Linked DNA regions of Lepisosteus oculatus. The protein of the gene in region 1 interacts with the protein of each later gene in a biochemical or structural test. Links are inferred from orthologs where the notes say so. Each region holds a gene or a part of one and is shown in the gene's direction. Other genes may lie near its edges.

Evidence for each region.
Region 2: the proteins of sec31a (region 1) and sec13 form a complex in vitro, tested with the Homo sapiens proteins (2 studies listed by BioGRID and IntAct, with this or other methods). The link is inferred for Lepisosteus oculatus from reciprocal best matches to the Homo sapiens genes SEC31A and SEC13.

The regions. Positions count from the first base shown.
Region 1 is NC_090698.1:27,495,263-27,502,957, reverse strand, and holds the start of sec31a (protein transport protein Sec31A), read left to right. Parts: upstream 1-4,487; 5' UTR 4,488-4,735; intron 4,736-7,695. UniProt on the Homo sapiens protein: Component of the coat protein complex II (COPII) which promotes the formation of transport vesicles from the endoplasmic reticulum (ER).
Region 2 is NC_090699.1:58,913,141-58,920,845, forward strand, and holds the start of sec13 (protein SEC13 homolog), read left to right. Parts: upstream 1-4,697; 5' UTR 4,698-4,894; coding exon 4,895-4,897; intron 4,898-5,443; coding exon 5,444-5,488; intron 5,489-5,784; coding exon 5,785-5,900; intron 5,901-6,272; coding exon 6,273-6,424; intron 6,425-7,146; coding exon 7,147-7,280; intron 7,281-7,705. Other genes in the region: cand2 (cullin-associated NEDD8-dissociated protein 2), read right to left, coding at 1-11, 970-1,226, 1,833-1,956, 2,313-2,467, 2,836-2,979, 4,049-4,116. UniProt on the Homo sapiens protein: Functions as a component of the nuclear pore complex (NPC) and the COPII coat. At the endoplasmic reticulum, SEC13 is involved in the biogenesis of COPII-coated vesicles.

The DNA.
Region 1 (7,695 bases):
AACTAGTAAAAAAAGAATTAACACCCTTTTTCAAAACATGCTTTACCTTCTCGACGATTGTACAATTTAATGCACTCTCGGGTAATACAAATCTCTTTACCAGTTGTGTGAAGTTCAAACATTATGTGTGACCACTATTGTTTAAACAAGCAGGTTAAATATATTGTGGGGGGGGGAGACACTTCCGTATATTTCAACAGGTTGAACACCTGCATCATCGCTAAACTGTATTTCCAGACCGGAAGTAGAAAACTCCCAAGCAACCACGCGTATTGTCCACATTTTCTTTACGTCATTGGCGTCTTTTTACGACCTACCCATACTGCCCCGCGGAGCTCATATAAAACCCCTAAATTGTGAGCGTTAGCTCCTTTTTGATGCTGGGGTGAGAGGAACAAAGTAGAAGACGATGTGGAAAGCTGATCCTAGGGGTGGCACATGTGGTGTGCTGTGCAATGCTGGCGTATGCACAAAAGATTATTTCAACGATGTGAGACAAAAAAGAAGACGCGTGGAGGAGAAGGGAGCACGGAGTAAGTTACAGCAAGTCGGGTTGCGGTAGGGGTCGGCAAAATTATAGTTATCTGAGCAATATGTTTGCACCCTTTCCTCTGGTTATGTACTTAATTAGCGCAATAATGATTACGATGATACCCAATGTCGCCTGTGTCCGATGATTTTAAACTCTTTTCTGCTGTTCACATCATGAAGCATTGTGATTACGATTTATCTAGTTATATGAGGACACGGGCTGACTTCGGTTTCTTACCGCGCCTATTTAGGCGACACGAAAATCTGGCCTGACTTAGTTGTCGTTCTTATTAACCGATTCCACTTGGTGAAGGATCTTGTCTGTAAGAGTTCATTCTGTGTTCCATTGTTCTGGTAAATTGTTATAGTTTCCAAGCCACGTTTTATTTGAAGTTGGCGCTCCTCCCCCAACACCAACGATGAGCTCTAAACATCTTTTGTTTCCCTTCCAGATTCCTTCGTTGCCCATTGAAAGGTCTTGATCCTTTTGGAGATGGAGTGTAATTGAAGTTTGCAAGGTAATTTACGAGCGCCTTTTTTAACAATGAAGCGCGGTATATTCCTTCACGCACGTGTAATGTCCCACAAACCTCACGCCGAACAGAACACAAAGGAATTGAGTGCTAGTGTCAGTCTAACTTGTCTGAACTTCTTTAACAGTAGTTAAGAAGGATGTAGGGCAGCATCCGTTTCTTGTAAATTCAACACAAGTCTCCCGTTACTAAATCCTAAGTGCAGGAAATGGCGGAGTCAATCGTGTGGCTCAGATGAGGGAGTACGATTAGAATGAAATCGTTTTTTTAGGGTACAGAGCACCAGCACTGTTTTACCCGAGCTCTCCCGTATCCGAGTTGAGAAAATTAATAAAGGTTTCAATTGTGCAGCTTGTTAAAACAAATCTCAGCTCGATTAAATAGACAGCTCAGATTTAGGCTTTGGTTTCCTTTAAAATATCACAGAACTGCTGAACACAATTTTTTGCCATGATTTTTAATAAGCTGTGATTCTTATTAGTTTTTCTTCTTGTTTCTCTTCCTTCAGAACAGGAGCACTTCACCCTACTGAGGTTAAAGGGACTGTGGGGCTGCACTGTCTGGTACCATTATCTCCACTCGGCAGGTGAGCCATGGAGTCACTGTACACATCACAGCCAATCTGACTGGCCCAGTGATTATAATCAATCACTACCCATCTGACCCTCCTCTGGGGGGAGGATTAAAACTTGTATATGAGGGTGCAGTCAGCTGCTGGAAATCCTTTGTCGTGGAGGCCCCGATTAGTCATTGCGTCATAAAGGCCTCTGGAGAAAAATGTTTATTTTAAAATGTAGCAAATGTTTTTGGCTGTAGTGGCCAGATCTTGGTGCAGAAGGGCCACATAGCGGTCATCTAATTTCATTTTTAAGTACATATCTTGTAAAATGGAAAGATGGGTTAGTTTGAGATCTATAAGTGGTTTAAGAAACTTGCCATTGAGAGGACTGGCCAGTGGTGCTTATATACCCATGTGCTAGGCTCTATTACTGTGGGTGTCTTGCAGTACACCGTAAAAGGACACAAAGGACCTGGCTTCTACCAAATGCTAAGTGTACACTAAGCGAGGCCACAAATGCTAACTGATGGCAGTATTTGCTATTGCATCTTGTGGCCTCCTGGCATTCTATCAAGCAGCATCTTCAAAGAAACCCATTTATTTGTCATGTATTTTGGGATTCATATTCACAGTGTTGTCTCGGGACTGTAGGACTGCATTACAGTGCATTGAGGAACTGGAATTTTAACTATTATCCTTCATGCACACGCCTAATAGTTGGAAAATCTCTCAGCCGGGTTTTCATGTTGAGCCCAGTGAAGGAAGCCTTCCACAGATGGTGTCTTGCTGGTGACCATGAGGTCAATCTGGCAGTGCAGGGGGGGGGATCAGGGACGAGCCAACAATCTTACAAGTGTGTCCATAGCCTTGTGTGGAAATGGAAGGAGTCTTCAGTCTACATCTCGCAGAACTAAAATATCAATTCCTAATGGGAGGCAATGAAGTCCGTTGAATGTGTTGGTGATCTTGACATTCTTATCTTTGCAGTGTTCCTGGGGATTACAGAGGAGTCTACACGAATGCTCTAGACCTGCTTTTGCCTGGTTTGAAGACCAGCTGCTTCTGATCTTGTGGGGAATCCTCTCATTTGCAAATGTGGGGGGCCATCTTGACCAATTAACCATGAAAAAACAATAGGCTTCTCACATCCAAGCCCTTTTTTTCATGGAAGCCGGAATATCGGCTTCAACATGGCATAGGGAACAAGCCAACCAGTCCTCAACCCATCGGCCATAAACTTGTGTTGCAGACATTTCAACAACCATGTAAAACAAGAGCCCTGGTTTTGGTTTATTAGAAGCTGTTTTCAGAGAAGTATGTGTGTAGAGACGAAATCAATTTTAGGGTGTTGCAGATAAGGTCACATTAATGTAAAAATGAGATTTCAAACATTATCCAGGAATTCTTATATGGCTTTATATATATATATGTGGAGCCTTTTGGTTCTCACACTAGTTATTTTACCACAAGAGTTAAGTTCTTGTAAATTCTGGTAATATTCCAGGCTTACTCTGAAGCCTTAATTCTTAAGTGTAATGTAATTTTGTGCCAAATAAATATCTTTAATGAAACATGACTGCAGTTCTTTGAATTTCTTGCCTCAAGCCAATGTCTTATTGGGTAACCAAACACTACGTGTTCTGTGCGTTTATAGCTATCAAAATGGATCTGGATATCTGGGTACAAGTCTTTTCCACATTAATGATGTCTTGATGTGAGCCAAGTGTGCACATTTTGGAATTAACCATGAGCAAATGCTGATCACCTGGCCTCACGTAGACCAAGAGATCATTCAGTATTGGTTTATATTCTGTGGAATTTACAGGGCATCTTTTTTTTTTAGAAGGGTCTGAAACAATGTAGGTTTAGAAACAAGTAGAGGGTTATTACAGGCTGAAACATTTCTGCTGTGGAGCCTTCTTCAGGTGTGTCCCAAGCTGAAATGTTTTTCCTTTTTTCAGCATGGAATAAACCTTTACATGTTCCTTTGCAGGTCATGCAGCTACCCACTTGAACTACATAGGTTTAGTTTGTCTAAAGCCTCCCAAGAACCTTTTTAAAGAGATTGTGCTGAGTTGGGAGACAGATTAATTGAAAAGTAGTTATCCTAGCAATGCTGCTTCAGCAGCAAACCTGTAAAACAATGCCCCCTTTCATAGACCTAGTGGAGGCAAAAGATTACATGAAAACTATAGTTTGATAGCGTGTTGCAGTGGATTTCCTGTTAAGGTAATGAAAACATGTTTGGGAGCTGCTTCAGAGCATTTGGATTGTTAAAGTAAACCAAACATGATTAATTGAAATAACATCTTTAAATAATGTACTTTAATTGTTGAGTGAACGTTTTCCATAAGATTGATATGATTTTACATCCAATTTAATTTTGAGAATTGAAATGAGTGAAGAAAAATGAAAAAATCTCCAGGGTTTTAGGCTTTAATTTATTCTGACATGCATAAATGGATTATAAACATCTTTACAGAACAACGTGGAAAAGGTGAGATCATTTTTTGTGACATTACATTCCTGCTGGAATATAATCATTAAGTTATTGCAAATATATATTTAAACCATGTTTTTCTAATTTTTTGTTTCTCCCCTTCTGAAAAGTACCAAAAAATACGTGGTATTTTACAATTAAGGTTTTAGTAAATGGCGTCGCAAAAGATGCATCCATGCGATAATATTTTAGAAATAAAAAGTGAATGAAAAAAAGATTAAATTATACAGGCATTTTCTATTTGTGCAATTCTGATTGTTGCAAACCTATTAACTTCATGTGTCGGTCCCCGAGCAAGGACCGTCTTGAACCCTGGGAGAGAGATCCGCGTTCTCCTCCGCCGGCTGCGAGAGCACCGTCCTGCTCCGCTCGCCGGAAGTGCTCAGTGTGAGGGGTGGAGAGAGGATTGCCACGTTGATGGGGACGTGGACTTTGTTGAGTCGCAGCCGTAAACCTGCAGCCGGGACCAGAAATAATAAACCCCGTAACAACCAGGAAAGGGAACCTGAAGGATAAAGGGGGGAAATATACGATTTAAAGTGGATCAAGAGCAGGCTGACTTCTGATATTTACTTTTTTTATTTTAAGCAATCAACGTACTGTGCACGGAAGGTAAGGGGACTTTCGTGGAAGATATTCCACTTATTTGTATTACTGCTCGGTACCACTATACCACCAGCCTTCATTCAGGGAGAACACTGAATTTGTTGATCTGCATCCTAGGCCTCAATGCATTCAGGTCTCACAGCTGCAACGCCGGGCACCAGTGAATATTACAAATCCACTCTCGGTTTTACGTGTATGCTTTGCAAGTATTCCTCCGGTTACGCGACGTAAAACCGTATTTTTGGACGCAGCTTCATGCTGCCCCGCAGTTTCCTGTCGACTTTGGTCTTTCCGTTTCATTCATCTAAAAAAGGTAAAAGTTTGCATGAGTGGCGTTTTGGAGCTGTGGTTTTCTGTTCAGCATTAATGTGCTGCTTTACGAAAACAATTTGTGTTTACAGTATTACCCCCCCCAGCGAATCACTGGGAAAAAAAACAGTGCTTGTTGGCACAGATCTATGAATTAGACCAGTCGTAAAACTTCATTTTTTTAACAGATTAAACGTTGCTCTTTAAAAGAAACGCGTTTTTAAAAGGATCAAGGAAATCGCTTACTGTTGTTTTCATATTTATATGTTTTACCACAGAAACGGCAATTCGGTGCCAAAACGCTGTGGCTAGTTATCTATTGAGCCTTTGCCCTCTTGTGTATCGCTGCATACGGTTCACAGACTGTGGCCAATGAGAGTGTAGAATAAAACATTTTTTAATACAATTTCGACCTCGTTATGGTCTTTGTTTGAATATTTGTAATTTCACAAATAGTAATTCCTATTCATAATTACATTTTAATCGCACTTAAATTTAAGTCATTTAAAAAAGAATTATTGCATTTCACTGTGGTGAAATATTTAGGCGTGGTGAGTCTTTTTCTCTGTAAATGGCTAATTTTAAGTATAAACAATGTTTTAACAATAGGTTTAATCATATAAATGTTAATTCTCTTCCCTAACTAGAACTCCCTGGGACTGAGAAGATGTAGTACATGATTTAAAGATTTATATGACATAAGAGTTCTTTCTTATGACCTGTTTGAAAAAATGTGTCTTAAAAGTTAATGGAGAAGAATTTAAAAGTGTGAGAACTAGTTGGGATGAGAATCTTACAAAACTGCCCTAAAATTTCGTATTTAATAAATTGTTGTGCTCTGGCCTTTACGAAAACCATATTAGACCTGCTGCGTATGCAGTTCTGGGTTTCCAGCCAAGTCTTCTCAGTTATGGCATTAGCCAGTGATTTGCAAATAAAGCCATCTGAGAGGAGAGTTAGTGATTCTGGGTTACTTATAATTAAGAGTGTTGCGGTTGGCAGAGTTATCATCCTACTATACATATCATACTACTGACTTCAGGCTACCAACTAGGTTCATTGTGCAATTTTTGATTACGTCACATTGCTAAAATATGGTATAATCAGCCTTAAAAGCACATATATTGTCTGGGTTGAGGGTCCCATTTTCCCCTGTATGCTTTGTACGTATTGCATCCACATTTTAGCCAATGAATGATTATTCCCAAACACACTATAAGGTTCTTTTACTTAATGGCATGTTGGTGAGTGGGGTAGGTCTGACGTTGGACCTGTGGGTTTGTGCCTGTTGGGAAGGACTTGCACATGCTGGTCTTTCTGTTGTGTGACCTCCTCTTCTTGTTCTCGAGTGGATGTGAGCCAGAGTGGGCAGGCTATATTTGAACTGGAGTCCTGATAACCCTGATGTGACCTCATTAACTTGAATTCGTATAGGGAGCTGATGTCTCATCTAGTGCCTTAGTTTCTTCTGTGCAGGTCATTTGACTTGTTAGGTCTCAGCATGAGGTCTAACTGTTTCTTCAAAACTTTGTCATTAGGTGCTTTTGGCAAAGTTAAAGGTCACTGATGTATTCTAATATTTCTCCTTTAAACCTCAGCATTGTCCAAAATGTGTTTCTGTGACATTCAAATTAACTCAGTCAAATTGTTTAAAAATGGTGCAGTTAATTATTTCTCTAATTAGTGATTTGTTTTTGCCCCTTGGGCAACTACAGCTCTTTACTGAGTTTTGCTCTCAGCATCACTGTCTCTCATTTAAAAACATCAAGGCTGATTTTAATTGTTTTCTGCTGACATCTGTGATTACAGTAATACCCGAATTACAACCGAGAAGGGTTACCGTTTTAACTTATAATTTATGTCTCCAAGCCCATTCATGGCTTGGCTCTTGTGTTTTATGATCTATGCATTGCTGTGTGAAAATTAACTTGCAGGTTATTATTAATGTTTGTAAAAATCTATTATGCAATACTGTTGTAAATGCTAAAATCCATTTTTGTACTACTTCATTCTAAAGTTCCTTTTGCATTTTCCATTAAATAACTTTTTAGAAATTGATTATGTTTTAAAAAAGGGAGCTAAATGTAAATAAGCAGATTATTATTTATTATATTTTTCTTTGTAAGCTGTAGTGTCTGTTGATAAAATGGGGCCTGTGCATCATTAGAAAGCTCCACCTGATGACCTGCAGGTCTGAACTTGTCCTCAGAGTTTTCTGTGGACTTTGGTGGCAACATGAAAAACACTCGCACAAAAAATAGTGTTTATTTTGGAATATCTTTCCAACAGGACCACGGAACTAAAATTACCACTGATGGCATAAGCATTGTTATCCTGTATCTTGGAGGCAGACAGTCCTTGAGTACAAGATTCCTGCAGATTTTAGATTTATCTTCCAAAAATGCTTGAATAACATCTTGAAAATGCAGATTTCATGCCTACTAAATTAGCTGAATTAAGTTCTGTGATGTTTTTACTCCTTCACGGACCGTAATCAAATCGTTTTTGATGACCACACATTACTTTAAACATGGTTATTGATAAGTTTTTCTTAAGATATTCATATTGGTCATTGCATGTATCTAAGTGCTCATTTGTCCTTGAAAGTTATAGCTACAATCCTGTATTGGTAAACTAATACATAAGTGCCATTACTT
Region 2 (7,705 bases), on another chromosome or scaffold:
GAGGTGTTCCCCTGAAACACATAGACAGCACTTGAGTGGGGCTCATACTGTCCCTGTAAAACATGGACAGTTATCCTTGTATATGATACATTGATTGGCAATGTTATCCTCACTTCAACTCCCCAGTACTTTCAAACACAAACTACAGCAGCAAATAACGGTGACACAGGACTAAAATGGCATTTAATTCCAACACATGTCAAGCACTATAACAGTTCCTAAATCAAAAATGTTTTGATATAGTACGGTACAGTATTGTATAGACTTCAGTAGGTAAGTGAAGCCCATTATATATTTCCACTGAAGAATCATGAACAAGGACAAGAAAGTAGTTATAGCAATTGGCAACCCAGTTTGTATTTTATCACACTAAGAAAGTATGTAATAAGGCATATAAAATGCACATGAGGAAATTGCTTACAGAAAATAGCAAGGCCAATAATTATGTGATCTAAAAGTGGCTGAATTAAAGAATAATGGGGAGTTGTTGTCTAGCTTTGGCAACATGTCCCATCACTGAATGTTAAATTTTATCATTTAGTTTTGATTGTGTAAACACAAAGTAGCCTTAAGAAGCAATAAGGAATTAAGAACTGCCATTAAACTTTAGATTCTTTACTACTGAAACCAGCTATGTACTCCAATTCAGATATTTCTGTACCAGGTGATATCTCAATACAATGTTTCCTCATTTGTTTAGTTTGTTTTATTAGCAAGGAGAAAATGAAAACATTCGTAATTATACAACTTATTATTATTATTTTAAGAATCTTTGTTTCTGTCCCTTTTTTTACCACTGACTAGTAGGAACTATTATATGTACACATTGTATACATATATTTGTATATAGAGCTTATCAGATTTCATTAAAACATTTCAGATCCAGATCTGTTAAAAGACAAGTGGTTTAACAAAAAATAAAAACCTGAATTGGAAGAACTTATTTACTCTTAAGAGACGCTGTCTTACCCACTCTGTGGCCGGCCTGCCTGCTGATGGCAGCCACACACTGGATGTAGGTACGTGTGGTGGAGGTGGAGGCGTTTCGGGTGAGCTCGGCCAGCAGGTGATCCATGAGCTGGGTGAAGACAGGACTGCTGCAGCTGGGGACCAGGTGGCTGAGAGCAATGATGCCCCGCTTCCTCACTGCCAGGCGGGGGCTGGTGAGCTGGGGCAGCAGGCTGCTCAGAATGGAAGGGTGGAAGATCATGAGGGTCCCACTCAGCCTGTGGGCAGAAAGGATATAAGAGATGAATATGGGGTCAGGAATTGACAATGTCCCCCGAGACGTCCAGGGTCCAGTGTTGTGCATACTGCTTATATTAGCACAATACTGTTCATCAAGATAAATAAGAGCAGATGATGAGTTTCAAGGTTCAGGCTGGAATTATAGGTAGAGCATCTGAGTGTGTTGAAATACACACCATTACTTGTATACTGGCAATGGCCTCAAAGGTCTCTGTATTAGACTGAGAAGAATGTAATTTACATCTTTATCAAGGAAAATAACCACCTACAGTATTCAGATCATTATTTAAAGCAATAATGAAAAAGTCAGCTAAGGAAATGCCTTGCTTCAAAGCCTTTGTGTGACCTTTCTTCTCTAATAGAACAGAACTAGCAAAGCTGGTAAGTGCTATAAAACTGTTTTAAAAATTATTTTTTTAGTCAGTGCTTTAAAATAATCATTCCAGAGACATGGATAAGAGTGGAGATGCCAGATAAAACTAACAAATAGTGGAAGACAATATAATAAAGTTTCATTTAAGTAAGATACAACTACAGTGAAGATTTACAAATCACTTCTGTGACACAGAGTGAACGTCTCCTACCTGCTCAGCATGTCTGAGAGGATATCCAGTGCCTCCAGCTGTATGGACACATCCTCTGTTTTCCCAATGGTTGATGTCAGCTGTGTTGTTATTTTCTTACACACATTTGCTGTCAGAGCAGACCCTGAAAAATGTAGTATTATTTTTACAGATTCCATCACTGTACGTTTTTGGAGTAAAATGTTAACTGTTTGGTTTTAGATTTTTAAATTTTAAGATTAATTTACTTGATAACGAGCAGTGGATTTTCAAAATTACAATTTCAAATTGTTCACTTGGAAGTTCATCATTATCCATGGCATCTTGGGTATGCAAACATCTCTATGAAATCTCCAACCCCAGTCCTAATACCTGCAGTAACACTCACCCTAACACAGTTAGTTTTTGGTGAAATCCATGACATCAGGATGAACAGCAGATGGCTGAAAGAATCAATACCTTCATTATAGCTGATCGTAATAAGATCATGAAATCTCTTACCACTGGAGGATGGAGGAAGCTCAGCAATGACTGTTTTCAGGCCCATACTTGAAGTGTCTCGTAGTTGCTCTTTATCTGAAAGCATGTTGGAACACAGCGTGTCCACAATGGTCTCCACCTGGTATTCTTTCACCTTACTCACCAGTGGGCCCAAGCTTAAACACACAAAACAAAGAACAGAAAAATCAACAGTAACAGCTGTCTGTTCATTGCAAACATTTTTTTTCTGTGTGATACACTGGTTTAATTTATCCTGAATGTGATATATGCCCTTGACGTTTTTAGAATTTGCTCCAGTTTAATATTTAGTCCAACTATTGTTTCTTAGGAAAATTAACACAACTCTTTTCAATGACCGCTTTCTCTCTTGTTAGATTTGCACCTTGACTGTTTACATGAGTTTCAGAAAGTCAGCTCTGGAGCAAAAACCTCTTTGAAAATCACACTGAATGTCGGTTGTTTATAATTCCCTGTCAGCGGTATGGGATTTAAAGGATTGTGGATACTTATTAAGCTCACTCACCATTTGACTGCAAGGTTCTGAACCTCTCCATTCTTATCTTCCAGCAGCCTCAGGAGCATCGCAACCACCTTCTTCTCACTGTCTTCATCTAGCTTGATGGAGTCTTTCTGGAGCTCCATCATCAAGTCATTGGTGGCCATGAATCTGAAAGCAGATACCCACCACTGTCATAATCAGCACCACTACTATTCCAACAGGCCCCTGACACTTTCTTCTGAGATGTCCAGACCTCCGAGGGGCGAAATCCAAAAAGCAGAAAGGGAGGGTTTGAGTGAGGTGATGGGTGTTACACTGTTCACAGGGGTAACAGCAGTGATGTCCACACGCAGCTCTGCATAACCTAAATCACGTCATCATTGTCTCAACAGAAAATATATCAATCTCACCCATCTCTTCAGATGATGAAGCTTTCAAAAGACCTGCAAAACCTGCAGACACCCTCGCCTTCTATGACCAGGATTATAGAAACATTGGGGAGTCCTTTTATCTAAAGCAGTCATAGAAATCTCATAGTTCTCACTTCTCCAATGATCTACTGTGTAAGTGACTTCTTCTGCATAATGACTAATACAAGTCACCCAGCTGGCTGCTTTACACCAGTGGTGGGTTAAGTGGGTTCCCTTCTTCATGTAATACACTTTGGGATCCTTTATATTTAAAAGTAGTAGAAAAATTCAATGAATCATTATTATTGATGTTGTAAATGGTTTATATGTCTGCTAATACTCTGTTTATAAACCGTTGGCAAGGGTTCTGAACTGTCTTCAGTAATGAATATAAATAATGAATACACAAGAAGAAGAAATATATTTCAAGAAAACAAAATGCATGAAGGATTTTATCCTTTGTATGAAACAACTGTCATCTAAATTAGATGTGGAATTAGAGACCACATAATACCAGTCACTCTGACATTAAAATATGTTTTACAACTATCCATTTCCATAAACCAATGTTGTATGTTTATTTTTCAAGTTAATTAATTTTACTGCAGGCAAAAAGTTTAGTACCACATAATATTCATATCAAATTTCCTGACGTTTAAAAAATATTATGGCTAATAATCCCACACACTTAAATCCATCTTAAAATGTGAGGATGGACTGAAGCAAAATGTAAGACGCTCAGCTGACAGACATTTCCAATGTCATTTCACCTTTAATTTAGCTATGCTCTAGGTTGCATTAAAACATGCAAACTAATACAGTCTTACCTAAAATCTTTATCAGTAGATGTCATTTTCTCCAGTAGGTTGGAGATATGATAAGTCACACTGGCCATCTTTTGAGTTTACCTTTGAAACTTGTATTCACTCTACAATCTTTTAAGTAAGTATAGCAGAAATTTCTTTTAGTTTACATGGAGAACATGGCGAGGGAGAGACAAGAGTGACGCTTCAGGGTAAGAACAAACTGGAAAACCTGATACTCGGCACGCAGCGATATAAATAGCTTACAAATTGACTCGCTACTAGCACCGCCAAGTGGTATTAACGCCTATTGCAAGAAAGTCATACTTTTTAGAACTCACAGTACGGTCCTGTCTTCCAGGTAGTGTTTTAGTTTTACGTCACCTTTTAATTAAAAAAGAAAATTTACTATGGTTATTTACGATTATTTGTCTATGTAATAATATAGGTAATATGTATGGCTCTCTTGACATAATGGGTTTGTTTTAGTAATTAAAAACAATTGTTCGCCCCTTTACGTTGGAAGGAAATACTTGGTCATGTTTGTATTTGACGATAAAATGTATTGCAAGAACTGTGATAATGCCACTTGTGTTAAATGTGAAATTACGCCATGTAGACTGCGAACTTTGTAAACAGAGTATCAATGTTTGCTCGGAACTCTGTATCGTCGCTCCTTGTTGTAGCCCGACAGAAGGAGTGGGGATGCTCCCGGAAGTGGAGTTGAGTTAGAGAAGAAGTGGAGTTGCCACGTCTAAGAGAGGAAAACGGCTGGAGCGGGAGACAAAATTGACTAAACGAGATATTATAAATCCAATTTATTAATTGTTTTTAATAAGAGCGGTCATTTTAACAGTAGTCAGCACAAATATGGTGAGTAAATCTATTTTTAATCCTTGGTAGAAGTCTCATGATGGCGATTGCATTTAAAGTTTTTGATCGGTTTGCAGAATGTATCTCATTCATTGAAAAAAATGCTTGATTTTACACTTACGGTTATAGCTTCAATAACAGTTGAAGCAATATCTAGATTTCTGAAGCACGTTTAAAGACGAGGATGAATGTCATAAATCGTTGATTTACGAAACGACAATCGCCACGTCTAAACGTAGATGTTGGACTTTGAGATAACAGGCGCCTAAGGTTTGGAAAAACTGCCGACCTGTGATTGTAGAGACATTCCTGTATTGATTTATGTTTTCAGTAATTAGTAAACAAAATATTGAAAACAATACATAGCAGTATTGCGTGCAGTCGCTTTATAAATTTGCACGGCGTCTTTAGAGTCATATTGTTGTTTTTGCCTAGTTGCTAGCTTTGTTCATTAGGAACCACAGTTTAATATACTAAAAAAAAGGTTTGGTTTCATAAGTAACCTCTACATTGTAATATTAATAGTTATGCAATTTTCCCTCTTAGGTTTCAGTTATAAATACTGTGGACACGTCCCATGAGGACATGATCGTGAGTATTACTGCTTTTCGTAATTATGTGAAATGCTAAATAACCACTGTTGTGTGTTTAGTTGAGCGGTTTGAGATCGCTGAAGAATGCAGTTTCGTTATACTTCGTTAAAAAGTCCTCTATTAGTTATTGTCTGTTGTTAGTTGTTAAAAGTTTCTACTGTACTATACTTTTTTGTCAAGCAGCCAGGAATTGAAGGTGTCCAGCTGTTTTATGTTTCAGAATTTCAGCACTTGGACACTACCTGACCCTGTCTGCCCTTATCTTCTTTGCCATGTATTTTTTTCTCTTGCCAGCATGATGCTCAGATGGACTACTATGGTACCCAGTTGGCTACTTGCTCGTCCGATAGGTCTGTAAAAATATTTGATGTGAAAAACGGAGGTCAGATCCTGGTTGCCGATTTGAGAGGGTAAGTTCTGGGATGGTTTTCTCACCGTTACTAGTTCAGTGGTATTTTTCAGACAAGTATTTTGCTTCTTGGGAGATTTATTCCCAGAGGAGTCAGGTAGTGTCTGTTCTTAATCATCTGTTTTATCCTTTACATGAGGCAACCACGCACAATCCTTAAAGAGGCTGTGCTCCTGGGTGTAATTAGGTGGCGCTCACTCCTATGCCATGTGCCTCACTTGTGTTTTGATTGTGTAAATGGTTATTTTGTAGCTGTAAACTTCTATCCTTTCATGGAAACATTTGAGAACCTCTTTTGTTAGTTTTTTTTTACATTTCTGCTGATTATGAAAATATAATAATACTGAAGCATTTTGTCCTTACTTTCCTACAGTCACGAAGGGCCAGTCTGGCAAGTGGCCTGGGCTCATCCAATGTACGGGAACATTTTAGCGTCCTGTTCCTATGACAAGAAGGTGATCATATGGAAAGAGGAGAACGGCACATGGGACAAGATGTATGAGTACACAGGCCATGAATCTTCAGGTAGACAGACTAACTGACAGGCTATTGCTGCATTTCACCTTTTTGCGGACCATTTTAGTTTTTTTTCTATTTGCTGTCCAGCACTTGGGGTATTTTTCTTAAGTTAATGATAACTTCATATCACCTTTTTGTAAGGCAATATAACCATTGCCACAAATAGGCCAGACGATTACACCAATATCTTTTCCCTGTTTTAGCTTTTGAACGTTACCTTTGATTTCAGTCTTTACTTGTGAATGACAGAGACAAGATAACAGGTTGAAGTATAAGGCAATTCTCGTTCTGCATGCACAGTGGCAGAAAAGTGGAATTTACATCAAGCACGAACTTGAAATGTTTGTACATTTGTCTACAGAAGAAGAAAAACATGATTTTACATTGTACACATGCTAAATTTCTACCAGTACCTTAACAGGATAATCGCCACTTGTATTAGCAAAATGAACCAAAAAAGAGACCTTTGAAGTAATATTGAATAAGCTAACTTTAATTAAAATGGGTTAGTCTTGACAATGGATCTTTAGTGCCCTAAATACTGTTATTGATCTTTGGTAATGTCTTAAATGTCGAGTAATTAAAAGACTTGAAGGTTCTATTATGAAAATAAGATAAGGGAGATGTAATAAAAGCATGTGTGTATAAAGTGGTTGCATCTCAGTAAGTACTTGTGGTGCATGGTTGCCTTCTAAAAGCTGCCCTGTGTCTCTGTCTCGTACTTGAAGTAAACTCGGTGTGCTGGGGGCCCTATGACTTCGGACTGATTCTTGCCTGTGGCAGCTCAGATGGTGCAATATCGCTGCTCACTTACTCCGGGGATGGGCAATGGGACGTCAAGAAGATCAGTAACGCACACACTGTAAGGGGCCTTTAATTTGACTTTTAAGTCATTTTTTTCTCAATCTTAAGTGTCACTTGGTTAAAGGTTGTGAGTCCATAAGATCATCAAAGAATGTTTAGCTCTTTCCTTAAAGAACAACAATGAAAACAATAAAAGAAAGCTCAGCTTATAAAATTTTGTTTGTGTAAAACTGCATTTAATAGTAATTGCAGTAGCTTGATCAACAGCATATATATATATGAAATTATATATAAAATAATTCAAACGGTGTAAATGCCAGAATAAACTTGCAAAATAAACAATATTTGGCACTTATTTTCTCTCTCTAAGATTGTAAGAATTATAGTACATTATCAACTCAGTGGCCCATACCAAACATAGTGGATTAAAAAGCTGCATATGGACATTTTTATAGAATGGAGTATGGTTTTGTAATGTTAATT